4 linked regions of the Notamacropus eugenii genome follow. The protein of the gene in region 1 interacts with the protein of each later gene in a pairwise test. Links are inferred from orthologs where the notes say so. Each region holds a gene or a part of one and is shown on either strand. Other genes may lie near its edges. The genes, in order: DEUP1, TXLNB, TBC1D22B and ESRRG.

Region 1 (7,214 bases):
GAGGGAAGCAGAAAACTGGGAAAGAATTTTTACAGCTAGTGTCTGTAATAAAGGCCTCATTTCTAAAATACATGGAGAACTGAGTCAAATTTACAAGAATACAAGTCATTTCCCAACTGACAAATGGTCAATGGATATGAACAGGCATTTTTCAGAGGAAGAAATTAAAGCTATCTCTAGTCATATGAAAAAATGCTCTAAATCACTTGATTACAGAAATGCAAATCAAAACAACTCTGAGCTACCACATCACACCTGTCAGATTGACTGACATGACGAAACAGGAAGATGATAAATGTTGGAGAAGATGTGGGAGAGTTGGAACACTAATTCATTGTTGATGGAACTATGAGCTGAATCAACCACTCTGGGGAGCAATTTGGAACTATGCCCATAAGGCTACAAAAATGTGCCAACCCTTTGACCCAGCAATCTGACTTCTAGGGTTGTATCCCAAAGAGATCATAAAAATGGGAAAAGGACCCACATGTACAAAAATATTCATAGCAGCTCTTTTTGTGGTGGCCAAGAACTGGAAATGGAGGGGATGCCCATCAATTGGGGAATGTCTGAGCAAGTTGTGGTATATGAATGTAATGGAACACTATTGTGCTATAAGAAATGATAGACAGGCAGACTTCAGAAATACCTGGATAGTCTTATATGAACTGATGCTGAGTGAAATGAGCAGAACCAGGAGAACATTTTACACAGTAACAGTCACAGTGTGCGAGGACTGTTTTTGATAGACTTAGTCCTCCACAGAAAATCAAGGACCTAAAACATTTCCAAAAGACTCATGATGCAAAATGCCATCCATATCCATCAGAACACAGAATAAAGCAGACCATTTTCTCTTTTGCTATGTTTGGTTTTGTTTAGTTTTACTCATGCTTTCTCCCATTCATTTTAATTCTTCTATGCAACATGACTAATGTGAAAATGTGTTTAATAAGAATGTATGTGTAGAGCATAAGATTGTATGCCATCTTGGAGAGAGAGAATGGAGGGAGGGGAAGAAAATTTAAAACTTATGGAAGTGATCGTTGAAAATTGAAAACAAATAAATAAATTTAAAAAAAGAAATTCCGAAGAATTATTTACGCTTGCTTTGCAAATTGATTTGAGCTAAAAAAAAAAAAAAAAAGTGATGAAAGCAATACAATTGTTCTCCACCCTTCTTGCTTTAATTTTTCTACCTTCCCTCCCCATCTCTCTTTCTCTCTTCATATGTATATTATATATGTATATATACACATATATACATATATGTGCACATGTATATGTATGTGTGTATGCATTATGCATGTGTGTATACACACATACTATATATGTGTGTATGTATATAATGTACATATGTATATATTTTTATGTGTGTATAGAGAGAGAAGGGAGAAAGAGAAAGAGAGAAAAATGTAGGAACTGAGATCAGAAAGGGAAGAATAATTATATTGTTTTCTTCACTTAATTTTATATACATATATCGTTAATATTACATGTGTATTCTCTAGAATTATATTCATTATATGTCAGCAGCACATGTGCATGTATTTACATATGCATATACACAAAACCAACATCAAGTTTTAGTGCTATATTTTGGCCAGCAAAAAGCCTTGTAGTCTCCTTACTTTAAAAGTAGTTCCCGTTTATATAACACTTTGTGTTTTGTAAATACTTTCATCTCAGCCTCGTAAGCTAGGCAGTGCTGGTATTATCCCTGTATTACAGATGAGAAAACTGAAGCTCAGAAAAAGTCAAATAACTTCCCCAAAGTCATCCTGCTAGTTAGTGGAGGAGCTAAAAGTATAGTGAAGTCTCCCTACTTTAACACAACTGTTCTTTTACACTACAATCAAGCTTCTCTTTTAATAAAGTCCAAAACAAGTAAGCATTGGACTTAAAGCCAGAAGAGCTTGGTTTAAGTCCCAGCTCTGCCACTTACTGTCTATGAGCAAACTAGTTCATCTCTCTGGGCCTCAGTTTCCTCATCCATAAAATGGGGTAACTTGTACTACTTCTCTTAGTGAGGTATTGTAAAGAAAAGGCTTTGTAGACTTTAAAATGTTATCTAAATGTAAGCTCTTATCATTACTATTAAGCAGAATTTTCTCAAGTACGAAAGGAAACCTCAGCACTTACCCCATCAGATTCTGCTCTGGGTTCTCTATCTCAAGACGCGACTCCATTTTACCTAGGTTTCTTGATCTTTTAACCTGTTCAGAAAGGGAAAAAATAATAATCTAGAATATCTAAAGTATTTATTAATCTAGAAAATTATGGAATGCTAGCTCTTGGCAAAATTGTCCATTTTAAATTTTCCTTAGAAAATGTGACACTCTTTCTCTTCAATGTACTATAAACAGAACTGCTAAGTGACTTGATTTACCTATGTGTGACCTTCATCCCCCCCTTCCATCTTCTCTAGCAGACTGTAACCTCTATCACACTCACCTTCTTGCTCTCTCTCATTCACTCTTTCCTTCCCTCACTGTCTCTAATCTCTCCCTAGAGCTACTTGATTGCTTCCTGCCTTCAAACATGCCCAAGTCTCCCTCAGATTCTCACTAGACTCTACTGCCCCCTCAAGCTATCATTCTATATCATCCCCCCTTTTTCAGTCAAACTTCTAGAAAAAGCTGTCTACCTTCATTGCCTCACTTCAGTCTCATCAAGTTAACTGAATTTGTTCGCTCCAAAGTTACCAAGTCTTTCAATTTTTCTGTTTTCTTAGTCCTCGTCCTTCTTGACCTTTGTGCTGCACCTTTCTTCCTAGATACTCTATTTTCATGACATTGTTTTCTTTTTTCTCCTCTTTCCTTTCTAATTGCTTGCTCATTATCTCAAACACACCCCTAACTGTGAGTGTTCTCCAAAGCTAAGGCTTGAGTCCCCTCATTTTCCTTATTGTCTTAATGTCCACATAAGTTCCCATGGGTTTAATTATCACTCTATGCTGATGACTTCTAGAGCTATATATCCATCTAGAGCTATATATACATTGACAGTCTCTCTCCTGTCTAGTCCACATCTAACCCTACATCACTAACTGCCTATTGGACATTTCAAGCTAGATGTCACAAAGACATCTCAAAGTCAATATGAATAAAACAGAAATCATTAATTTTCTGTCCAAACTCTTTATCAAATTTCCCTATTTTTTTGAGACTTCCAGTCTTCCAGATTAGTAACTTCATTTTTATCCTCGTCTCATTCTCCCTGACCCCTTCCCTGCATCCCCCCGTCATGCTGATGGCCAAATGTGTCATTTCTAACTCTACAACATCTTTTCATGACTCCCTCTCTATTCACATAGCCACAACCTCAGCGGTTCAGGCCTCATCACCACTTGCCTACACTATTGCAATACTGCTGTAATTGGTGTCTCTGCCTCAAGTCTTTCCCCCTCTAATTTATTCTCTACAGAATTGTCACAGTTATTTTCTTTAAGTGAAGATTTGACCAAGTCAATTCCCTTCTCAGTAAAATGCAGCAGCTCTATATTGCCTTAAAATACAAACTCTTTTAACGTCCTCTACAACTTGCCTCCAACCTGTTTTGATATACATGTATTGCCTTTACCACACTTTATGGTCCATACAAACTGGACTCTGTTGCCCTCTCTCCCTCCCTCCCTCTCTCCCTCCCTCCCTCCCTCCCTCCCTCTCTCTCTCTCTCTCTCTCTCTCTCTCTCTCTCTCTCTCTCTCTCTCTCTCTCTCTCTCTCATTTTCCTATCACACCCCTACACCTCACAGAATCAAGCACCGTCTTCTCTAAAATGTCTTTCCTGATTTCCTCACCTTCTATGCCTACCCTCCTCAACTAACTGCTAGTGCTGGCCCTCCCCAACTATCAAGTATTTAACTATTTTGTATTTAATATATTGCTTGCCCCCCATAAAATATAAGCCACATGGGAGCAAGTTCTAAGTTGTACTTGATTTTGTATATACCCAGTACCTGAAATATTAGACCACACAAGATAACATATGTATAGCACTTTTCAAACTTTAAAGTGCTATATAAGTGCTATTATTGTTATATGGTTAATAAAAACTTGTTGGTTGATTATGTTCAGCTTCATGTAAACTTCTTTGCCTTTTTTTTCTGTTCCTTTTCTGGAACACCAATATGTAGGGGGCTCAAGGATATGATACAAATTCAAGTACTCTAGCCACTGAAAACTACAGCTCTTGAAGTCCATTCTAGAGTTGATTCCAGAAGTCAGCTTTCAAAGAGTAAGTCCCAGACTTTAAAAATACTTGCTGCCTATTTATTTCAGAGTTGTTTGTTCCATCAACCATCAAATATATGTGTGTCTATGTATAGATGTATATCTATATACATAGACATATATGTATATTTAAATCTGTGAGAATAAAATGGAATATACCACTAAAGGCTACTTATGGAGAAAAGAGAAAAATACAAAAATACTCTAATTCTATAAATTAGAGTATTATAAAGAAGAGGAGGAGGGAGGGGAGGAAAAGGAGGAGGAGGAGTAGGAGAGGGAGAAAAAATTAGGTGAGGAAGAAGACAAGGAGGATAGAAAAGAAGGGATGAAGAAGATGGAGGAGGAAGGGTTTGGAGGAGGAGGGGTTTGAAGGAGAAAGACAGAGAAAAGGATGGAGGAGAAGGATGAAGAGGAAAACGGGAGAAAAGAAGGAAGGAGGAGGAAGATGGAGAAGTATTAAGGAGGTAGAAGGATGACCATGACATCAGGATGGCGATGACATGACATGCAAGTGAATTGGATTTTAGTGAGTCAGGGTTGTTTAAAGTCACCAGCCTCACTTTCTCCTCCGGAGCCAACTGGGTCCAGTGGCCAGATACAGATCAGGATAACTGGAGGTGACTTCAAGGAGGTGGAAGGAGGAGGAGGAGGAGGAGGAGGAGGAGGAGGAGGAGGAGGAGGAGGAGGAGGAGGAGGAGGAGGAGGAGGAGGAGGAGGAAGATGGAGAAGTACTAAGGAGGTGAGAGAAGGAGGGTTAGTTGGGCTGGGATAATCTCAAATCAAACGTTTCCAAAGCCCCACTACCACCACCTCTCAAACCCCTAATCCGCACAAAGTTCCCAACTTGGCTCATCCTTCGCCACTCGCTTCCCCGGGGTCCGGCCCGGGGAGCCTCCCTATCCCCCTGTCCGGGCCGGGACAGCTCCCGGGTGTTGGGAGAAGCGGGGACACTCGGGAGGATCACCGGGAGCGGGCCTGGACCTCGGAGCGCCTTTAAGTACCTTGCCTGCTCCCGGCTCTTGACCGTCCGAAAGAGGGGAGGAGGAGTAGGGTAAAGTCGATGTAGCCCGCCACGATCCCGGCCTCTCCGGGCGAGCCGCTGAGTAGCGTGCCGTGGCCCTGGCCTCGACCCCAGCCCCGGCTCCGGCTCCGGCCCCGACCCAGACTGTCCTTTCTTCGGCCAGGCTCGGCCCGTCTCTTCCCCAGCTTTCCTTCCGGCCGGGCCGGAGCAATAGCAGCAGTGGCTGCCGCGGCGGTTACGGGCCTGGCTCCGACTGGCTCTGCCCGCCACGGCTCCCGCGGCTTCCCAAGGCGCCCCAGGTTGCTGTGGCAACGCGTGCCCGACCCCACCCGCGGAGGAATGCCAAGGCCAAGCGCGCCTGGAAGCCCCGGGACACTCCGAGGGTGCCGCTGCCCTGCCTGCGTTCCAGCGGGGCTCGTCCTGTATACCAGGGGGCTTTTTGGGATCCCCTTGGCCAGCTCCAGATCTTAAGTTAAAGTGTAAAAGAAGGGACAGGACGGTGGAAAACAGTAGGTGCTCCCTAACTGCCCACATGGATAGCCACACTGGCTCATCTTCAACGTGCCTTGAGTTTTACAACAGAAAGTGCCAGGCAAAAATGTAACCAACGACCTATGACAAAATTTATGAGTATTCCCTACTCAGAAATAGTAGTGAAGGTGTGTGGCTATGTATATTCATATGTATGAATATAATATCTTTGAAAAATGAAAATTCACCTTAGTTTTATTGCTTCCCTCTAGTAAATTTTGAGCTCTTTTGTTTATTTTTCACTTTCATAACATGGACACTGATTTGCTATTTTATTACAACTGTTCATTTAATACTTTTTTGTATATCCATCCAGTTCCATTAAAATTATAAAAGACAAATTTGATCATTTCTCATCAGCATGAATTTCTTAGATGTACTCTATAAGTGGCTTAGGTAATGAGTTCTAGTAAGTGTTCCTTTGTTCTTCCCACTGTGACTGAATAAAGAAGAGTCTTCATTCCATCTTCACTTAAAATCTTCTATGATGTTGAAAGACTTGGTCATGTTCTTGAATCATTTCTAAATTTCATCCTTGATTTGGAGAAGGGAAAATGGATCTTGAAAAGAAATTTAACTTATTATCATAGGATAGCCCAAAGTCACTTATATTCATTCACCCGATATGAATTCGCACTAGTCCATATGCTAGCAATATTGAGCAAGTCCCTTTTAGCATTAGGAACTTACATAAATTCATTATCATGAAGATCCAGAAGTCTGACTTAAGATCTGTGGGAAGAACTTATAGAAATATATGGCTGAATAGGAAGAGTTTGATTTCTCAAGAAACTTTAAAATCTGACTCTAGACAACCAGCATAATAACAAATCAAGCCCTGATTTGTAGTTTGCCAATGTCTGGGGTGCAAATGCTCAGGCTGAAAATTTAACAATCTACTCTTGTGAGCTGGTACTAGCTAGTTCCAATATGCCCAAAGATCCTACCAGTTCTTTTCCTGTCCCCCTTAATGTTAATACCTTTCCTCTGAGATTACCTTCCATCTACCATCTATCTGTGTGTCTGTCTGTGTACCTTGTGTATACATAGTTGTATGTTGTTTCTACCATTAGAATGTAACCTCCTTTGGGGAAGAGACTATTTTTGCCTTTCTTTGTTTTTCCAGGCCTTAGCACGTCTGGCTTATAGTAAACACTCAATAAATGCTTTTTGACTAACTCGTACCTGTGATTTAAGCCACATTTTTTACAAATTAAGGTAAGTATAGGGGCAAGACTGTCAACAGCAAAGTAGAAGACTGCTTAGGATCATAAATTTGGAGCTGGAAGAAGCCTTAGAAGTCATCAAATCTACCCCGTCAGCCCTTGTTTTATTTACAGATGAGAAAACTGAGATTGAGAGGTTGAGACATGCTTGGGATTACACAGCTGGAAAGTATCTAAAGCAAGATTTGAACTCAGGTCT
Region 2 (7,803 bases), on another chromosome or scaffold:
GAAACAGAACAGGAGTGAAGGAAGGTATAAAGGAATTGTACGATAGGAAAAGAAGATGGGTTGCTCACTTGTCAAGACTGAGATACGACAAGTGGACAGCCAAAGCATTCCATGGATACCTTAAAATGCTGGAAGTGAGAAAAGCCTGCAGAACATTGGATGGATCCCCTGTGGTGAACTTTTGGGAGAATATAGGTAAGCCTTACACATGGGTTGGGAAGGCATGGTTGAATCAAGATATGCATTACTGGAGGGAACTTTCAAATGGATGGGACCACTCATCCATTTGCATTTTTGAGCATGACACAGATGGATAAATTATAGACCTCATCCACTAGTGTCTCTATCTGTCTTCATGTGTGTAAATATATATATATATGAAATTGTGATTCTCCATTAAGTACGCTAAAACTTTTTCTAGAAAATTAGTACTGTTTTTTCAATATCAATATTCTGTCCTGGTCACATGGTGGCAAGGCATAGAATGCTATAATCTATGAACAATTAAAAATTAATATCATTCAAAAAACAATGGAGAGACACATGGGTTTATATGTATGTGTATGTATATATATGAATGCATATATGTGTGTGTCAGGTTGTAACACTCAGGACATAAAGAGCTACAAAGAAAAACGAGTAAAAGATGACAAAAATACATGATAGAAAGAAGAGATGTGCTAGTCATGTGGAAAGATTGAGAGATAGCTGTCACCTCATGTGCTTCACTGGTATTTTTATGACATGAGGAGAAAGTAAAGTTGTTTGTTTTGTTTTTTTAGCACAATGGCAGCACTCCCTCAATAGCAAGCTGCAGGGAGAACATGGTCAAGCATAAGATGGGCAGGCATAGATGATTTGTCAATTGCATCATTGGAAAGAACATCCACACTGATGTTACTGTGGTTGCATCTGAGTGAATAACAGGTAAGATCATTGATTCTATGACACTAATAGGTGCGTTAAATATTGTTTTAAAGAACTTACTTTACTATAAATAACAGGGAGAATTACCCACAATGCTCGTTTGGAAACAAGTTGGAATTCTCAATTTAAGTAGATTTTGGAAGCAAAGATATTTGTTGTTTTACATTCTATCCAAAAGCTAGAAACCTGAGAGCACAGTGGTTTAAAGGAAAAAAAACTCTGAATGTGCAGTCAGAAGTGACTCAAGTTCTATTCCTGACAGAAGACCTAAGTCTTGGCTTTCTGCCTTTGATATCTACTGTGTGACCATAGGAAAGTCATTTAACTTCTCTAGTCTCATTTCTGAACCTGCAAAAAGGGATTAATAATAACATAGAATAATTTTTATAATAATAATGATAATTATTAATAAGTACTGATCTTATAAAGTTGCTATGGGGATCAAATGATGTAAAAGAACCTTATAATTCATAAAGTTTTATATAAATATTGGCTCTTATTATTAATCATTGGGCAAAGATCAGTCCTGGTAAAACTTGGAGTCTATGATTGTCTTGTCCTGTGTCCTATCAAGTACTGCAGATTAACTTGCGTTGGCACCTGCTACATATACTTCATTAAATTGTAGTAACTTTAACCTAAGCCAGCATTTAGGCTCCTGTTGACATCAGTTCTATTAATACCTACTGATCCATTTATTTTTAACAATAAAATTGGTTACTCTCTTAAAAAAAGAGACCCCATTTTAGTCTCTTAGTGTTTTGTAATGATATTATGTTGAGTGGAATAATGTAAGTATAGGTGCTGTATGAAATAGATGCAGGATCTGTTACCCTTTCTCTCACCAGTGTATTCAATGCCAAGATCTTAACAAGAAACAGAAAAGTTCTTCAGTTTAGACAGGTCCCTCTCTTTTCTTCCCTCCAAGGCAGTTTAACAATGCAACCTGCCAGCATCAGCTCAATACTGACAAAAAAGTAAATTCTCCTTTTTTTACAGCATTTTTGTCTAGCCAGGCTTCTCTCAATCAATTTTATAAAGCACTTCTTCTTTTTCTTAATCACAGGCATTTTAATTTGATCCCTGTAGGGTACACACATCTGTCTATATATAGCTTCTGCCTCTCCCCAGCAGAAAGACACATGGCACCCTCTGTCCAGCCAGAAGTTATTTTAAGCTCTTCTAAAAGGAGGTTTGGTATTTAGTTAACACTTCATCTTTGAAAACCTTAGAAGGAGAACATTATTTTAAAAAATTAAATCCCCAATGGGAAGAATTAACAAGTTGAAATAAATACATTAAAAATGATTAGGTAACATACTCATATACATATCTGTATACTTAAAGAGGTCCTCTTTGGTTGAAATCAGACCCAAATTTACTCAGATTCTGTAAATAATAAATATAAATAGTAGCCTGTGAACACAGGATCTGGGTTTCGGCCAGTGGAACTTGTATATGAATTTGCCTTGTATTTTTCAGGTGTAAAGATTACTCTAATTCCATATAGTAAATCTATTGTAAGCCCTCTGGATTTTCACATTATATTTGCTTTTAAATAGGAATAACGAGTCACTGAGCACTCAGGGATCCTCATTTCCTAAAAAGTAGCCTGACGATATCAGAAAGAAGGCTAGTTTAGGAAAATTTCTGTGTTTCTTTTTAATTGTCCTTTTCTGAGCAAATACTGATCTTCTAATTAATTGCTGGTGGTCAAAATAGGGAGTATTACAAAACTTTCTCTTGTATAAACTTTATTATCTTGACTTTTTTTCATTCTTAAGACTGAAAATTTTTTACTACCAATTTTGGCAGAAGATTAAAGGACCCCCATACCTTACTGAGGAGCATTATTATTATGCACAAATAAAACCATGGAAAGGCTTCAGCAGTTCACTGTCAATCTCCAAGTTGAGCTGTTTGGGCGATGCACACCTCCCCTCCACCCACAACCCCAACCTCACAACTTTTAAGGTTACTTCAAAAAGTGTTTGTTGAACTTACCAGTAGGCGAGGAACAAAGCAAAGAGAGGAAGAGAGAGCCAGAGGAAGGAGGTAGTTAAAAAACAAAACAAAATTTAAAAACCCCAAGCGAACCAGCAGCAGGGCACAGCAGGAACCAGAGCCAGACACTCACCCCTGTTCCTGAGAGAGAGTGAGAGAGAGAGAGAGAGAGAGAGAGAGAGAGAGAGAGAGAGAGAGAGAGAGAGAGAGAGAGGTGGAAACACACATACACACAGAGTGAGAGATGAGAAAGGGGGGTGGGGGTGGACCAAGGCACTGAAGCTTGGATGATATATATAGCGAGGGATAAGTAATATGCAAAATTTAAATGTGATACCTGGGGTGGGGGGTGTTCAGAGATAATTGGCAACTTCTAGCACTTAACAGTTTCTTCCACTTTGTTATTTTTTTCTAAGAAAAATGGAGACAACTGGAGAGGCCCTTTCCCCCACTGCATTGAAGGCTAGAAATACTGACAGCTAGAGTACCTTTATTTTGGGTCAGTTAATTTTTTCACCTTGGAGGGTTTCTCATTCTGGCATTCAGCATTTCTCCGGTATGGTTTGTAATTTCTCTTCCTTGTCCCTCTCATGCTAGTTTAATTAATTAGTGTTTTGTTCCTGGGTATGTGGTATCAGATTGCTTATGGAGAAAATGGGTGAGGAGGAGAGGGAGAGATATATGACTTTAACAATGTAAGAAATGAAACACTTTCTTTATGATGGGATGATATTTACTTGTACGTCTTGAAACAACCAAAACAAAGCAAACAAACAAAAAAAAACCCACCATGAAATACCAAAGTTTCTTGTCCTGGTTTGTAATTTTATCTATTATGTGCCCTTCATGATGGGCTAACCTGGGGGTAGGGAACCTATGGCCTTGAGGCCACAGGTAGCCTTCTAGGTCCTCCAGTGCAGCCTTTTGACTGAATTCAAGTTTTACAGAACAAATTTATTTATTAAGGGAATTTGTTCTGTGAAGTTTGTATTCAGTCAAAGGGCCCCACTTAAGGATTTAGAAGGCCTCATGTGGCCCTGAGGTCACAGGTTCTCCACCCCTGGTAACCTCTTTTCCTTATTATTGGTACTCTATATGCCCTGAGAGAAAATTCCTATAGTAGTGCTGATTGAAGGTATTGCTAATATTATGACAGTATGGTAAGGAGTCACAGAATTCCATCTTTGCAGCTTTCCTTCACAATTCTGCAATAGCATATAAAAAAAGATGCCAATTTCTAATGGATCATTGTTACAGTACAGTGCTGAATGACATAGGAATGTAGTGTCCTAAGCATGGAAACATTTTTATTAGACTTGGAATAGATTTTCTATTGTGAGACTTTTAGGGATTGCTTACATACTGAATAATTAATATAGCCTGTGGAAAGGAACAATGTATGGGAAAAAAACTGCTAGATTTTTTTGGAATTGGAAGACCTGGATTTATGCTCCAGCTCTAACCTAGAACTTGTTCTGACTTTAGACAGCTTTTAGGAGTCTCAGTTTCCTCCAATGTAAAATGAGGTCAATAATACTTAACCTAACTGAGTTGTTATGAGGAAAATGCTATACAATCTTGAAGTGCTATACAATCCTGAGTAATTGTTATTTCTCCGAATTATATCATCTGCAAAAATGTGCATGCATTTACTTAAATGATCTCTAACGTTAAAATGTTCAATAATTGCTAGTAGCTAGTCTTGGATTGCATATCTCTCTAAGCCATTCTCCACACCATTGCATAATTGATATTCCTAACATGTACATCCAACCATGTCATTTCCTTGCTCAAGGAACTTTGGTGACTCCGTATGTCTCTAGGATAAAATACAAATCCCTTTCTTTGGCAGTTAAAGTTCTTTCTCAGTCTGATTTCAACCTGTCTTTTGTGACTGTTTCTTATCACTTCTCCTCATGTACTGTACATCCAACCAAACCAATGCCATACATGACAGTCTTATCTCCCATTTCTGTGTCTTTGCAAAACTCTCCCCATGCCCGAAATGGGTTCCCTTCTCACCTTTATTTCGTAGAATCCCTTAGCTGGTGTTCAGTCACTTCAGTCATTTATGACTCTCTATGACCCCATTTGGGGTTTTCTTGACCATGATGCTGGAGTGGTTTGCCACTTCCTTCTTCAGCTCATTTTTACAGGTGAGGAAACTGAGATAAACAGGACCCAGGCTCACCCAACTGCTTAATGTCTGAGTGTGTATTTGAACTCAGGTCTTTCTGACTCAAAGACCAGCACTCCATCCTCTGCACTATCTAGTTGCCTCCAGAATCCCTAGCTTCCTTCAAAGCAGAGATTGAATACTACCTAGTATAGTAGGGCTTTCTTAATCTCCCTAGTTATTAGTGTTCTCCCCTCACCAGCATTATTTTGCATTTAATCTGTATTTTTTCTATATACTTATTGGCATTCACACTGCTTTCCCCTAGTGGAACTCAAGTTCCTTAAAGAGATATTTTTTGTCTTTTTATCCTCAACAACTAGTACAGTATCTAGCACATAGTAGGTGCTTAATACATGATTGCTGAATGGATACCCTCATTTAGTTTTCATCACATTTAACACTGGATATTGCACATATAAGTTTCTCATGGAAAATATGTGAACACACTGTTACAGTAGAAAGAGCCTAAAATAAGATCATAGGACTCTGGTAAAAAAAATGACTTTTGATACCATCCAACCAACCTACCACTTTCCAGAGGATGGGGGGACTTGCCCAAAGTCACTCAGGTAGTAAATGAGAGGGGATTTGAACCCATGTAGTCTGACTCCAAATTCAATCATTTTTCCACTATTTCACACTAACTACTCTTCCTAAGGCTTTCCCTTTCTCTTTTCTCTTTCTCCTTTGGTGACAACTGGCCATCTTTACTGAGTTTAAGGAAAAGTGAAGTATACTAGTATAGATGCAGTTCATGGATTTCCATAGAACATATTTCTGAAAGTCTGAAATTACTTTCCCAATCTTTGTTATTGCTATTGTTAAATTAATTAGCAATCCAGATAAGGGTAGGAGATTGTTAAAATGTGATCGCCTTTGTGATGTTATAATCTTGCAAGTGTATCAGCCCAACTGATAAATGTTCTTATTTTTCTGATGCTTTTAAACAGATAAAGTTTACTTCCAAATAAAGTTTGCTTGATGGCCTAGAAACTCTGAGTAATCAACCCTAAATACTTAATCATTTTTGGGGGGAGCACCACACCTCTTGGGGGGCTTTTCTGTGTTTGTTTTCTTTTGAAGTTGACTTGACTGTCATAGTGAGGAATGTAACTCAGAAGACCTTGGTGTGCCATATGTGGGAAGGGACACCTGGAGATTTTCTTTTTCTGGATTTCTAGTAGAATGTTCTTTGAATTTCAGGGATCCCTGGAGAAAAATGGGAGTACCTTGCATTGTTGCAGGGGCCCAAAAGAATTAGACTACATTATGAGTGTAGACCTACAGAATAGGGGGAGGGAAGTTTAGTTTAATAGGGAAAGAGCCAAGTGCCACAACCTCTCCCTTAGCTAGTTTGTAGGCAACAAGCCAAAATAATTTGGTTTCTCACCTGAAGTTGAGACGTTGACTATCACTTGACCTCAATCCCTTTAGGATTATCTGAGAAGCTCTCTAAGGAACAAATTTCCTTCAGAGATAGAAAGCTAATTTTCTGACTGAAAAGGGTGACTGGTGAAAATCCTCCCATAGAGAAGCTGCAAGTCTGCTTATGGAAAGGTATGACAACTTGTAATAAAAAGGCTTTGCTCAATGATTTGGAGCATGCCCAGACATTCTGCAACTGGTTCAGGCCTGCTTACCCTGTGGCAAAGAGGAGCCTTTCTGATTGACTGTGAATTGGAAGTGAGTATTCAACAGGCTCTATTAGATGACCACAGTGAGGTTTCATCCTCATTCCTGCCTGGCTGTGAATCAGTGAGGAGTCAAAAACAGTTGAAAGTTATCGGTGGAGACAGAGAGGTCTCAGGCCTTTATTTCCCCACTGGGCCACAGTAATATACTTTGCTCTTGCTTTTTTGTTGTTGTTGTAGTTTGGTTGACTTCTGTAACTGATCTCTACTACTGTAGGTGAAGGAGTAATGGAAACAGCTCTGACACTGTGAACTTCAAAAGGTCAGAATGATGTGTCCTCAGAAGTCTGAGAGCTTGAGTCTGTGCTAGACCAAAAGCAAGGTTCCCAAGGAACAACCTTGAGGACTCAATCTAGCAGCATCAAGTTTAGCAGTAGGTGAGACAAGGATTCATTCAGTAACTATTCTGAATTTTGAAGTAAACTAGGGGATGAGGTTGGGGAATGAATTCCTTATGGCAAACCTTAAGTCTGAGACCACTATCTCCATGGACTAGACTAGGGTGGCACGGGGAGAGTGTATGCTTAGTTTTGGGGGAATGGTTTATATCTCTATTCATATGTCTTCTCATATCTCTTTGAAAAAACTAATTGACATTAGTTGGCTAAATGCATATAAGGTGCCAATCATTGGTGATTGATACTTGAAGCACACAGCAGAACTGGGTCTCAGGCTGATACTGTTAAAGACAGAATTTTCCAATCCCTCAAGGGTATCTCTGGAACCCAGAGTGGGGGAATATAGTCATGAGGCTTGCTCTAGAGATCTGATTCATCAGTGAAAATGGGAATTCAAGTAAGGACTCCTAGAGTTTTAAGGGCTACACAGATCTTTGAGGTAATATTTCAAAGGACTATTTAACAATTGGAAGAATCCAATAATGGGACAAAATACCTTACAATGGATAAATGAGAAAGTATTCATTAAGTTCTCACTCTGTGACTAGCCCTATGCTAAGTTCTAAGGATACAAATACAAGACTGTGCCTGCCCTGAAGGAACT
Region 3 (7,221 bases), on another chromosome or scaffold:
GAACAAAGTTCAGTTCAGAAATCAAACTCATTCAATAAAAATAAGAAAGTACCATCTTCCTGAGCATCAAACTAAGTCTCAGTGACACATTAGTAAACCAAGGGGTCTTATCAAGAAGGTATAGAAGAAAAAAAATTTTTCATTCTTTAATGATTTTTGTTGGGGGGTGGCTGTATCTGAGGAAATACTTTATTAAATAAGACTTCCATTTTTTGGCACAAAGTTTTCTGGATCTGCTTTCAAAGGAACTAAAAGCAATCAGTCATTGCTTTATTTTCTCCATGTCAGCTTAAAGAATACTAAATTAGTTTTACTTCTAAGTTCTTCAACACATGTATAGCTTTCTCAGTTCTGTTGCACACAACAGAAGTTTTTCTTTAGTGTGAAAGAGGAAAAAGTTCTACGATCAGGAAGTTGTTAAAAATTTGGGTCCAAGTCAAAGCATCATTTAAGATCTTTTGTTATTTCTAAAATATGGTCCCTGGCCCAGAAATAAATCCAGATCTAAATCTGTTTAAGAAAAAGAACAAAGTACTAACAAAAATCACCAATTACCTAACACACCAAACGCATAATGGATCAAGGATTAACGCTAAGTTCCTCTATAACCAGCAGGGGTAAAGACCCAGTTATAAGGTTCACTTGTCCTGAATTTTAAAAGAATATGAAATGGTTTGGTTTGGAGGAAGGCCACAGAGCACAATAAAAAAACTCTCCTATCACCCTTCACTAAAGTATAGGGTTTCAAAAGATTACATCTTCCCCTTAATTGTTTTATAAGACAACATTAGAAATACCTAAAATAGACAGAAGTAGTGGCTGTAGCCCCCATCTTCTACACACACCCCTTTTTCAATTTAGATTCTCCAAAGAATTCCCCAAAGTTACTCATGTCATATTCCCAGGCTTCCAGGGCAGACAATATATAATGATCTCATCATGGAAAACCCCGTGAACAGCTTTTAATAGAGGTGGAGACCCCAATGAATCAGGAAGGAAAATGGAACAGTTGGGGAGGAAATGGCCTGTTAAAACCTCTCAAATATGAATTCAAAATAATATAATTAACATTAAGTTGATTTTGAAGCTGATTTTTACTCTATCCCCCTCTCCACCTTCATGTGGGTCTTAGTAGGGTAATGAATAAAACATAATAACTATATAACTTTCCCTAACCTTCACTTCTTTCATTTTTTTCTCTTAGGAAGTCACAACCATCCCATTTTTTTCTGGGGGTGGGGGAAGAAACAAGCAAAGGAAACCAACGAACAGAAAGAAAAGAGTCAGAAACATTGAAAACGACAATTTATGTGGCACCACTAGAGCTGGCCCTGTCTGCAACTGCCTTCTGTTCACTCAAGAAGCACCAGCTTCTTAAGATATCTCTGAGGAGGTTTTCTATCCTTCTTTCATCCTGCAAACCACATGTAAGGGAATGGATGTGCGGATGCCAAGGCATATTTATGATGCAACAAACATGAAAAAAGCAGTCATGTTAGCTAATTACATGAAGCATTTGGGGAGACTTCTATATACTTGCACAAGGACAGGATCATAGGAGAGTGTCTATGGATGTTAGCTATTAGAAACTTTGAGAGAGATAAAGACAGAGGGAGGGAAGGGGGAGAGAGAGGAAGAAAGAGAAGAAGAGAGAGGGAAAGAGGGAGAAAAAGAGAGGGAGATAGAATACAGAGTGAGGGAGAGAGGGAGAAAGAGATTGGGAGAGAGAAGGAGAGAGGTAGAGGGAGAAAGAGGAGAGAGAAGGGGGGAGAGAGAGAGAGAGACAAAGAGAGACAGAAAGAGACAGAGGGACAGAAAGAGAGAGAGGGAGAGAGAGAGATGGTTGAAGGGAGAGAAGGGAAGAAAGGAGGAAGGGATGGAGGAAAGAAAGAAAGATATTAAGAAAAAGAAAGAAAGAATTAAATGAGATAAATCCTCCAGACAAACGTACACTCTCCACATCCCCTTATAATACTCCTAATGAGGCTGGCTAACAGCCTTCCCCTTCTCTACCCTCTGCCCCAAGCCCAGGCACACACAAGCTGGGTGACCCTGGGAACGTCACCTAACACCTCAGCGTCCCAAGAAACTCTACGACTGCGAAGTCCTAAGAGCAAAGGGAGTTCCCCACAGGTATGAGGTTACGGGTCCACAAAGACAAGGGGCATCAAGGACCCCTCCAGGCTCCCCTTCCCCAACACGGGGGGCCACGAGCAGGGCTGGGGGAAGCAGCACCTGCAGGCACCTAGCGAGCAGATAATTAACAAGTGCTCGTTGGCCGCCGGACAGAAGGGGACGGCCTGCATTTGGGGGGCTCGAGAGGGGCCCGTGCTCGCGCACCCTCCCCGCCGTGCACCCCGAGGCTCGGAAGGAGAGGGCCTCTCTCGATCCGGCCCGGGGAGCCCCCTCCCCTAGTATCTGCTCCGGAGAGCAGCAGCCTGGCAGCAGCAGCGCAGACGGCAACGACGGCGGCCACGCAGCCCGGGCGCTCCTCGGGGCTGTGCCACCCCGGGGAAGTGGCTGCCCGTCTCGGTGCCTCAGGTTCTGCATCCCAGTGGGGGCGGCAGCTCCACGGGGCTGTGGTGTAGACGGACCTCCGGCCGACAGGACGCTGATCCTCAGCACGGCCCCCCCAGCTCCCCGGGGGGTCCTGTACGCACCTCCCAGGCGCCGGCAGCCCCCACTCCCCGCTAGGAGCAGCGCACACACGCGGGGCTGGGGCTCGGGTGGATCCCGGCCCCGGCCGTCCAGGACTCCCTCCCTCGCTAGCTCGCTCACCTCCCCGGCAGCTTAGCGCTCCTCTTCCAAAACTGCTTGCTGTTGTCTCCGGCCATGGCTCGGGCCCGGGGAGCGGGCTGTAGGCGGGGCCGGGGAGGGGGGGGAGCCGGAGAGACGCCCCCAGGACCCCGCCACCCGAGGGCCGCGCAAGGCCGCTTCCCTCCTGCTGCCGCCGCCGCCGCTGCCACAGCCGCCGGTCACCCGCTCCCACCTCCCGGGGGCGCCATGTTGGATGTGGGCGCCCCCCCTCCTCCTCACGACGCCGCGCCGCTGCCATTGGTCGACGGCGGGGGCCGTCGCCACGCAAGCCAATGAGGAGCGTGCGTCGTGTGGGCCGCCGAAGTCGAGAGTTACGTCAGGGGTCGGGCATACTTACAGGTGGGCAGCGGGGGAGGAGTCCTAGAGGATGGAGGGGCGGGACTTAGAAGCGCCAATCACCGGGAAGAGCTGGAGTAGGTAAAGAAACCTACACCTTGGTGAGAGAAAGAAGACACTTTTTTATTGAGTTGGGTCTCTTAGGACTCCGAGTTGACTTTTTTCTTTTCTTTTTCTTGTCCTCTTCTCTCCTCTCCTCTTTTTTTCTCTCTCTTCCTTTTCCCTTTCTTTTCCTTTTTCTTTCCTTTTTTTTTTTTGAGGGGGGTGTTGGCTGAGAGAGGGTCAAGGGAGGACCAGATGAGAAGTAGGAAAAGAACTCTTCTTCTAAAAGTTAGAAACTCGTGATGAAAAAATGTTATTCACCTCCAGAGAGAGAACTGATGAACTCAGTGCACACTGAAGGAAATTTTCTTACTTTTTTTTCTATATGGCTAATATGGAAATATTTTGCATGATTTCACAAATATAATGGATATCATTTGTTTGCCTAAGTGGGTGGGAGAGTGGTGGGAGGGAGAGAAAGAATTTGGAACTCAAAATTTAAAAAGAAAATTTCAAAAATAAATAAAAAATATTTTTAAAAATGAAATAAAAGTTAGGAAGTTAGTATTCCAATGTCCTAGCTCTCATCACCAGCTAATTGTCACTGCTCTATACACACAGTGAAAAACTTTCTCCTTCTGAACCACAACTTCCTTACCCACAAAGCAAAGAAAATGCCTTTGACTCAGGGCTACCACTTCTGCAACAAAAGAGCGGTTAGTTGATGAGAATCCCATTAAGCACTTAGAGAACTGGTGAGGTGTACCACATAAAAGAAGTAATCTTTGTCCCATGGAAGTTCACATACTAGATAGTCCACGTTCTTTCTATTACTTTGGGGAGGCAACCTGGTTTAGCGGATAGGGAGCTGGGGCCCCAAGCAAAAAGATTTAGGTTCAAGTCTCACTTCTGACACTACTGACTATATAGTGTTATAGTCACTGCTGCAGGCTGTTATCTAAAGTTGTAAAACTGTAGAAAAGACACTGACCTTTATTGGTAGAGGAAGGTCCCTATTCATTCAACCAACATACATTAAGCTTCTACCATATAGACAAGAATTACACAGGTTGAATGACCTACTATCAGTGTACAGAAAGATAATGTTGATATTGAATCATATTATGGAAAGAGCCCTCTCTAGGAAAGGCGAAAACCATGAACAGTTGACTATAATAGACAGTATTATGTAAGTGTACTGGAAATAGATAAAAGTGTTTTTTCAATAACGAGAGGGAAAGTCATTACCTCTTGATGACAACCCAGATGTTGGCACATCTGTATAATGGTGTAAGAAGTTGCATAGTGATTTCAGTCAAGAATTCATTGAAAACAGAGTGCCAAAAACTATTTTGTGGGAGGGCATGATTGCTCTCCATGGATTCAGTCACTAAAGTTAGAGAAGTACCCTCCAAAAATCGTTGTATTTAGAAAAACCTCCCTGACTCCATTTCTATTTTCAAACTGTACTATCTATTGGGATGAGTTTCTCATGCTTACTACTCAGGCATGACTTTCTTTCAAACTAACTTTTGTACCTTTCTTTAAGATACTTTTGTCCCATGACCTCAGTATTGAGATTTGAGATAGAGATCACTCAACTCATGCTTTTATAGACTTTGATCATGTCCTCTTACCTCTTCCCCGCATACTCCCACCAGATCTCTTATATTCCTGAGCTGTTATACTCAAACAGAAGCTGCTGCATCTATCCCTTTGATCATTGTTAACAGATATTTTCTAATTATGTCTCTCATGAAATGTTGTGATCAGAGCTGTACACAATATTCCATATATGGATATACCATGGTTTTGTGCAGGGTATAAAAAAATCTCTGGGCTAAGAGAACTTAGTTAACCTTATTCATAACAACAAAGTAGACCAAAAAGAGAATTCCTCTTGAAATGGGCCTGGGTATGCTTCTCATTTATTTCTTTCATTATCTCCACCAGGTAGTATCTAGAAAACTTTAGTATCTGATACTCCCTTAAGGGCAACCATCAGGGCAATCTTTACAACCATCAGGTTCACTGGGTTTCAAAACACAGAACAGTTCTATATATGGGGAACATAGAAAGACATTACATCCAAACTCAAAAGAATCAAACCCCCTCCCCCCACCTCATCACTACCTATCATCCAACCTTGCCTCCCAGGAACCTGTACAGTCCTTATGACTTACAATACTACCTTGAATGGTGCTCCAGAAAGTAGGAATGCCTCTGGATCTGTGTCCACACTTTGGTGTTCTGTTCCTGCCACCTTTTTTACCACTGATGTTCTCCAGTACTTGCTGTCTCACCATCCTCTCTTTTAATCTGCTTACTGGCTGTTGATATTTGCTACTTCCATAATCTTTAGCTCTTCAGTCTGTAAAGTAATTGCATTAGAGGAGCCTTAGTTGCCTGTATAACAGGCAACTATTTCTCTCCTCTGGGGCCAGAATGTCTCTAGGCTACTTATACCTTCTGTTGTTTTTAACACCTTAGTCTCAGGAGTCTCAGAGCACTACTCGGTACACTAAGGGCTCTTACACTATTTTGTGTCATGGACCCCTTTGGCAATCTGAAACTTACCAACAACCTTCTTAGAACAATGCTTTAAAATTAATTTAAATATATATATATATATATATATATATATATGATTACAAAGGCAGCCAATTATATCAAAATATAATTTTTTTAATTTAAAAAGTAGTTCTAAATCACTATTAATCAGAGAAATGCACATATAAACAACTCTGAGGTAACATCTCACACCTACCAGACTGGCTAACATGACAAAGGAGGAAAATGTTGAGGGGATATGGGAAAACTGGGACTCTAATGCATTGCTAATAGAGTTGTGAACTGATCCAACCATTCTGGGAAGCAATTTGGAATTATGCCCAAAGGGTTATAAAACTGTGCACTAGTAGGTCTATATTCCAAAGACGTGAAAACCTTTGTACAAAAATATTTATAGCAGCTCCTTTTTTTTTTTTTTTGAAATCGAGAGGATATCCATCAATTGGGGAATGGCTAAATAAGCTGTAGCATATGATTATAATGGAATATTAATTATGTTTTAAGAAATGAATGACAAGCAGGATTATTTCAGAAACACCTGGAAAGACTTACATGCACTGATACAAAGTGAGCAGAACCAGGAGAATGTTACACACAATAATCATAATATTGTACAACAAAGAGCTATGAATGACTTAGCTCTTCTCAGCAATACAATAGCCCAAGACAATCCACTAATGATGAAGCATATTCTCCACTTCCAAAGAAAAAACTGATACTGTCTGAATACAGACTGAAGCATGCTATTTTTCTCTTCTTTCTTTCCTTCTTTTTTTTATTTATCTTTTTATATAAAATGACTAATATGGACATGTTTTACATGATTGCACATGTATAAACTATATCAGATTGCTTACCACCTCAGGGAAGAATGAGGGGAGGGATAGAGGAAGGGAGGGATAGAATTTCAAACTCAAAACTCTAAAAAAAATTTAAAAATTGTTTTAATATGTATTTGGGGAAAATTTTATATTTTTTAAAATAAATGTTAGCAGGTTATCCTGAAAAAGAAAAAAGTCCCAGATTAAGAACCCCTACTGTAACTCAAAGCACTTAGGTATCCATTAAATTCTCCCATTTCTTTCCATTGTCCACTTTGAATCAGTTCACAATGAATCTCTTCCTTTTATCTCTTCCCTTCCCCAGTACCTGAGTTGTGTGTCTTCTGTTCAATTAGCACCTTCCATTTATTATCAGTGGGATTCAGAGGGTACTGGGAATCCCTTTGCATTTGCGAACCAGTTCTTTCCAGCAAAGGCAGTAAGGAAGAAAAAAGAATTTGAAGGTCCTTGCTGGAATGGGATAAAGATTTCTATTTATTTCTGATTACTTTCCTGATAATGTTGAGAGTTTTGTTGGGGCAACAATACGTTGAGTAGTGAAGTCTTTACAGCTGACATTCCACAACTGTAGCCATATACACTTCCCTAAGGAGACAATGCAAGTATACATCAC
Region 4 (6,952 bases), on another chromosome or scaffold:
TCTGTGTATATACACGTGATGGAAGTACAGCCCAAGTACAATTACTATGAATATTAATAGCATGTATAAATTCTGTGGTTTATTAATTGAGACAGAGAGGCAGATGTGTTGCTTAGCATTAGATCTTTCTGTCTGTCCAGTGAACCACATAACCATCAGAACTGCATCCAGATAATAAATCTGAATTTTTTTTAAGATGACTTTTAATTGAGCCAAAAAAGAAAGCCTGAGCTACTTTGAATCTTGCACCACAGCCAAAAGGACATGTGCCCTGATTTCATTTAACTGCATCCACTTTAAGAGGCTTATCTAAACTAATTATTCAAATTAGCTTTAAGAAGATAAATTCAAGAAAACTACATAAAAAAGACTCCTTTTTAAGGCCCTATTAAAGTTTCTTTTCTTTTGCTTATTTATTTTTGAAAGAAAGTTCAGAATCTGAGTGAGCTTTCTCTGCTAATCTCTTTTTTCCTCTCTTTTGGGCCAATATGAAGACATCTTACACTATCATATTCAGCCACTCCAAGTGTACTAAGATACAAATCACATCTTACTGCACATGTTACCTTTGTTTATTTTGTGATATTTGAACCCCAATATTTTAAGACTGTCTTCTTATTTGATTTTTCAAACTGAACAACTTGCCCCCTCTCCATAATTTCTCTGTCCCTGATTAAGCCCAACTCTCCCAGGGTATTTTCCAGGGTATACACAACATGCATAAGCGAGCACCCACACGGATGGTCTCACACACTCACTCTCTCTCTCTTTCAGACACATACACACACACACACACACACACACACACACACACACACACACACACACACACACTTCTGTCTAAAATCACCAACATATAGGATTGCAACTGCAAGTCACTTTTCATCTCTGGCTTAATTACAAAGAGCATTGCAATATGCAGTCACTAAGGACAGCTAGTGGACATCAACCTATAATACACTGTCTCTTCAACATATCCTTATATTTCCCCCTCACAAGCCACAGACATAGTGTTTTACTAAGTGCACCCTTTTCAAAATTATAACATTCTGTATTATTGTAATGTGAAAGGAAAGCAATATAACTGACTCAACAGAAAGATGAACCAGTGACAGCTCACACGATACACTAATATTTTATCCTGGCTGTAGGATGAAATTAAGTTTATGATCTGCTCATCTACACCAGAATACCTAATTTACTTCCTCGTTCAACACCCCCCACACACACACATTTACTCTCCCCCTTTGGTAATCTCAGCGTGAACTGGCTGGTACACAAAGATATGCATAAATACAAATTAAACTGAGTGTAAGGAGCAAAGTACTTTGCTGTATCTTGTGGAGATAATAAGTGAAATAACTCTACTCTGTCTGTACAACTCATTTGAGTGTAAAATATTAAAAGTCAGACTGTCTTTCTTTAGTTTTGGGTTTGTTTTTTTTTTGGTGGTGGTGGTGGTGGTGGTGTTAATATTCAGAATGTGTGAAAATCCCCAGTTAGTTAATGGATTGATTTGTCAGCTAAGTGCTGACTTAACGCTAACCATGCAAATAACATTATTCTCGACCTGAATTGCAGGAGGCTAGTTTTAAAATTGTTCTCTGAAGGAGAATTAGCAAATGTGCAATTTTCCCTCTAACTCTGTGAGGTAAGAAATGACAGGGAGATGGAAATATCTGTCAAACTGCAAATACATAAGAGGCACTCAATAGTATAAATCATTTTTGAATATTGTATTTTAAAACATTTTTTTCCTTGGGAAAATGGGTCCTAGTAAAAGATGCATTTTAACAGTTCAGTAAGCATTGGTGCCAAGTACCTATTCTTAGCACCTGAATAAGAAGTGACTGTCACACAGCTGTTTTACTGACAGTTACCGAGCCTCGCCTCAAAGGTAACATTGTAGTCAGAGAACAATTCTCGACTTACTGAATTAGGAGATCACCCCTCAGCACAAAAGGCACAACACAGACACAAACAGCCACTCATGCACACAAAATACACAGATCGTTACCTGAATCAGGGTGCGAATATATATATATTTGGATCTTTTCAATTTAAAAAGAAAAAAAAAAGGGTACCTACTCTTCTTCGTAGTGCAGGGAAAAAGATTCAGGAATGCAAAGTTCTACCGAATCCATGTGCGACCGGCAACCATTATTTGTGCACCCCAGCTATAAATCAAAGTTTCCTTGACAGAGCCCCGTGCAATTAACACAAATGTTCTCCTGGTGACAAGCCTATAGGCACAGCCAGTTGGGACCAAAAGCTCTCACACTCTCCTAATCAAGGACTTAAAGCCCCGATTGGAGCTTATTAATATGAAGTAGGGCTTTACATATGCAGTCCCACTGGCCCAGGCGAGCTCTAGATTGGAAGAGCTTCCGCCAATCAGAGGAGAGGAGAACCCAGGCAGCACAGATTGAGGAGAACCAGGCAGGTAGAGAGGGTGGAGATAGAGAAAGGGGACTGAAAACAGTGGGCCGATAAGGGAGGGGTGGAGGGAAGAGAGATTTAAATGCTACAAATATTTTCTGAGAGGCTACAAAGGAACATAATTAACTTAACTCCTTAGGTACTGGAAGGTTTTTTTTTTAAACCTAAAGTACATTTTGCCTGTTACCTTGAAAAGAAGAAAACATGCCAGACTCCCAGTTAATTTGGGGACGAATTCTACATAAGGTAGAGAAATAAGTTTCTGATGCCATTGTCTATGTTCCATTACATTTTTGCCTCATTGCTCAGTCTACTTTCTCATCCACTTCTTATAGCTCTTTATTTTTATTTTTTAATTTGTAGTGGACATTTAAAATTCAATATTTTTCTAAGATGCTTAATTACTTTTTTCATTATAATTGTTTATTTTTAGGTAGCGATGATTGCATAAATAGGGTAGTCTACACAACTAAAACAAAAGAATTCATTACTAAATTTTATATGCATCTAATTTATAAACCTATCACTTCCTTTTCTCTTACTAAACATGCTCAATGAACACTTTCACAAAATGAAAATAAGCAACTATGAAATCAATCATTTTTCCACTTGCTGAGGGTAGAGCAGAGAAGTGATTATAGTACATTAAATCTAAACAAATTGAATTTAAGTAGATAAGGACTGCATTGTGTAAAGCTGACATTGTTAAAATTTGAAATATAAATGTTCTTAATTTTATACTTTCTCTTCCCCTAAAAAATGCTTCCCACCTGAGTGGGAAACAGAAGTACAGATATTATTTTGACACCAGTGCATATTTCATGTCATGTGCGTGTGCATATATATTTGCATACATGGCACATTTCAAAATTAAGTAGGAACCTAGACGGGGCAAAATATCATCTTTTGTGACTCAGACACCTGGCCTCTCATTAGGACAAGTTAATGAATGAACCAGTTTGAAATATAAGATCATAAAAGTAGATTAAGAAAACTAGAAGAATAAATAATTGTTTTTTTTAACTACTTTTAAAATATGTAACACTAGGACGAAGAAATAATAGTTATTTTTCTGATAACCTACATATTTTTATTTTAATGAACTCAAATGTACACTGGAATAGATTTCAGACATTTATAGGGCAAAAAGAAAACTGCAACCTCATTGAGAATGTTACACGATTTTATAATTCATATGAGAAGCTCACAAAATCTTTAGAGCCTGGAGCCCTACATGATGAAAATAACAATCTTTGATATCAAAACCAATCAGTACACACACACAGAATGTGTTAATACACTAAATCAGAACTCAACGCACCCTCTCATAAAATCTCCTGGTTTTTCTGTATTAAAATAGAACGGCCAAGTTGAAGTCCAGAATAGAAAAAGTGAGAGACATGGTTTTTGTCCTTCCAAAGGGGAAGACAATTTCCTTTTGCCATGTATTTAACCAGACTTAAAGTGTAGGCCTGGTTACTTATATTTGGGGTCTAAATGCATGCAAGTTTCTATATCGGAACTAACATAGCAAAACTATGTCTGTGACTACTGTATAAAAGCAGGTAGTAAAAGCTTAATTACCAGTAGCATTATGCTGTCTATATTGTTAAATGTGAACTCTGCAATTAAGATGTAAATTTGGTTGTGAGCAGTGAATTAAAAGAGCTCTGAGATGTAGAAGAAAATCCAAGCACTCTGCAGACAGCAGAAAGACAAAAAAAGAATTGCCTTTATCAAATCTAAATCAAGCTACTGAATCATTTTTACAGTTTTTTTAAAAAAGCAAAAACCCTTTCAAAGGCATTTTGATTAAAAAAAAATTCCTAAAAATATAAGAACTTCAGCATTAGAAACATAAACACATGGTATATCATGCAAATTTTGATTTCTGAATAACCTAAAATTACCATTTACTGATTCAATCACAAATATTTTCTCCATGCAAACAGAAAATTTCAACATTCAGGAATCCTTCTGACAAAAAGCTATGATCTCAAGTAGTCTCAAATACTATGTTAAAAGGCATCTATCTATGTCTGTCTCCTTGCTGTATTCATACTCTTTTACATTATCATGCTGACAGTTCCGCATTTATTACTCCTTTGAAAGAGCTATTGTAAAGAATAGACTCTCTAGCCAAATTTATTATTATTGCCTAAAGAAACCTAAGTTATCTCATGTTTTCAGTATTTTAAAATTTACCTTTATACTCTGAATACTTACTTGTCTGCAGAACTGCCTATTTGGATTTTTGTGTGGTATATTTCCTTAAGCACACTTTTCATATTCAGGTATGAATTCTTCCATGTTACATGCACACATATACAAACACATTCGAAACACACATTTTTACCCTATTATGCCATCACGACTTTTCCACCAACCATCTTTGATCCAGGCAAGGAGCTCCCTTCACTGCAATCCCTGCTCCTTGAATGACCAGAAGTATTGTATTGGACTTCATACAGTAGTGTTTTCCTCCCCTGGGGCCAAAGTGTCACCTCTACCAGTCAAGGACCTAAGATTACTCCTACTGTCTTGAATTCAGTTTAACCAATTTAAATTTTAAAATAAAATCTATTGCACTAAACTTCTGGGACAGGTTCCAGGACATTTTATAAAGAAATACAGTTAAGTCATCCCAAGAACCTTTCCTCTTCATAGAGACTTCCCCATGGTGGGGGGGTAGAAAAGATGGAGAATGTGAAGAAATGGGTCTGTTATAAAGACTGGGATGATTGTATAGCGAACAATAGATTTCTATTTTAATTAATCTAGCAAAAAACCATGATAGACGTGTCAACATTCGGGCAATCAAATCTACACATTATAAAACCTACCAAAGCAGGAAGAATGGATTCAAATAAAAGAAGCTTTCTTGACAGTCTCCCAAAGAACATTAATGAGCTAAGTCTATATCAGACCATCAGACTGTGCATATAATTATCCCTATGTAAATCTTTCAACATCTTCATCTTTAAACAACCCAGTAACTCCTGAATTTCTAAACAATCTTATTCTTAAACCACAGCTAACCCACAGGCCACAAGGTAAAGATGCTTCCTTCACTTTTAACATTTTAAAGAACCACACCTCCCCCAGCATAGGCAAGTAAAAAAAAGTTTCTTTCCATATAAATACAAAGCAGAAGTTTTCTTTATTTACACATCAGAGTTGTATTTTTGAGTCTTTGGGCTTTCCAACTGGAATCATATCCGAATTCCTACAACCTGGCCAATTTTAGCAATGATTTCTTATGTTTTCATTAAAATTGGCCAAAAAATGCTTACTCTTCTTGCATTTTGCGCTGCACTATGAAAAGATCAAATAAATTACTGTTTGCAGCTAGTTCCCTTCTCAATACTCTAAAAAGTAACTGGGAAAAATCATAAAAATAAGCACATTTCAAATATATGTTTTACAACTGAATGATTAATACTAATATCTCCATGACTGTCATGCTACTTTTGAGTCACACTTGAGTTTTTATTTCCTATTTTTCATTTGTTGCTTTTTTTCATGAAAAGCTAAATGTACCTTTAAAATTATAAAAGGTTCAATAGCTGTTGACTTTGAGAATGCTGCTTAAACCAGCTGGGCAGATGTTCCCCCAATTCTGTAACGTTTAGAAAAGTACACTATGCATTTCTCTGACTTATCTTTTATCTATCACTGCTCAAAGCTAGTACTTATTATAAAAAGAATTAAGATGAGCATTAGCTCATTTTTTTCTTCTCAAACCCAAACTCTAAAATATACGTACATTTAACCTTTTGTAGAACATTAACTTGCCTCCTGAAAACAAAGCAGAATGCCTTCCTTCAGAAGTCAGAATGATGGCAGTATACGCATTTACTACCAAAACCTCCACAATTCATCAGCTCCTTAAAACATGTCTTTCATTTGCAAGGCACAAAGGACTGGCTAAATTGATAAGAATCAATAATTTTTTAAAATTCCTAGAAGTATACAAACATATTCAAAAGTTATCCTGTCCCTCCATCCTGGACCCAAATTGGGGAATACAATTAGCTGAGGTGTATTAAATAGCTGGATGCATATAGCAAATCTCCACATCTAGCTGCCACACTTCCATTATAACCCATCAAACCCCTTTCCTATGGAAGCTTGTTCAAAGGGGGAAGGGGGGGAGGAGAGCAAAAGTCTGTTACTGTCTAAAATAGCTCAGATAAACTAAAGGAAGGAATTCCATTACTCTGTTTAATTAATACAGGATTATTTTCACTTTCATTTTGTGAAGCTAATAATATGACTGCTGGAATGTCAGTAAAAATTAAATCATAAGCTAGTGTGATACCAAAGGGAAAACTTACTTTAGTTCTAGTGTATTCCCAATAGAAATTTTGAAAATCTCAGACATTTACTCTATTAAAACAGCAAATGCACTTTTTTTAGTTGCTGCAAGATTTCAAGGATCACTATGGGTTGTATTTACAGAGCAAGAGTTAACATTTTGAAATTGTAGATTAATAAATGAGTTGGTTATATT

The links.
Region 2: the proteins of DEUP1 (region 1) and TXLNB interact in binary tests that used the Homo sapiens proteins (3 or more experiments, as listed by UniProt). The two-hybrid records come from large-scale screens. The link is inferred for Notamacropus eugenii from reciprocal best matches to the Homo sapiens genes DEUP1 and TXLNB.
Region 3: the proteins of DEUP1 (region 1) and TBC1D22B interact in binary tests that used the Homo sapiens proteins (3 or more experiments, as listed by UniProt). The link is inferred for Notamacropus eugenii from reciprocal best matches to the Homo sapiens genes DEUP1 and TBC1D22B.
Region 4: the proteins of DEUP1 (region 1) and ESRRG interact in binary tests that used the Homo sapiens proteins (3 or more experiments, as listed by UniProt). The two-hybrid records come from large-scale screens. The link is inferred for Notamacropus eugenii from reciprocal best matches to the Homo sapiens genes DEUP1 and ESRRG.

What each region holds. Positions count from the first base shown.
Region 1 is NC_092876.1:165,501,991-165,509,204, forward strand, and holds the start of DEUP1 (deuterosome assembly protein 1), read right to left. Parts: upstream 3,010-7,214; 5' UTR 2,654-3,009; coding exon of another isoform or gene 2,648-2,653; 5' UTR 2,473-2,647; coding exon 2,455-2,472; intron 2,217-2,454; coding exon 2,143-2,216; intron 1-2,142. UniProt on the Homo sapiens protein: Key structural component of the deuterosome, a structure that promotes de novo centriole amplification in multiciliated cells.
Region 2 is NC_092873.1:225,871,759-225,879,561, forward strand, and holds the start of TXLNB (beta-taxilin), read right to left. Parts: upstream 3,022-7,803; 5' UTR 2,932-3,021; intron 1-2,931. UniProt on the Homo sapiens protein: Promotes motor nerve regeneration. May be involved in intracellular vesicle traffic.
Region 3 is NC_092873.1:94,915,567-94,922,787, reverse strand, and holds the start of TBC1D22B (TBC1 domain family member 22B), read right to left. Parts: upstream 3,010-7,221; 5' UTR 2,835-3,009; coding exon 2,779-2,834; intron 1-2,778. UniProt on the Homo sapiens protein: May act as a GTPase-activating protein for Rab family protein(s).
Region 4 is NC_092873.1:420,779,235-420,786,186, reverse strand, and holds the start of ESRRG (estrogen-related receptor gamma), read right to left. Parts: upstream 3,018-6,952; 5' UTR 2,145-3,017; coding exon 2,089-2,144; intron 1-2,088. UniProt on the Homo sapiens protein: Orphan receptor that acts as a transcription activator in the absence of bound ligand. Binds specifically to an estrogen response element and activates reporter genes controlled by estrogen response elements.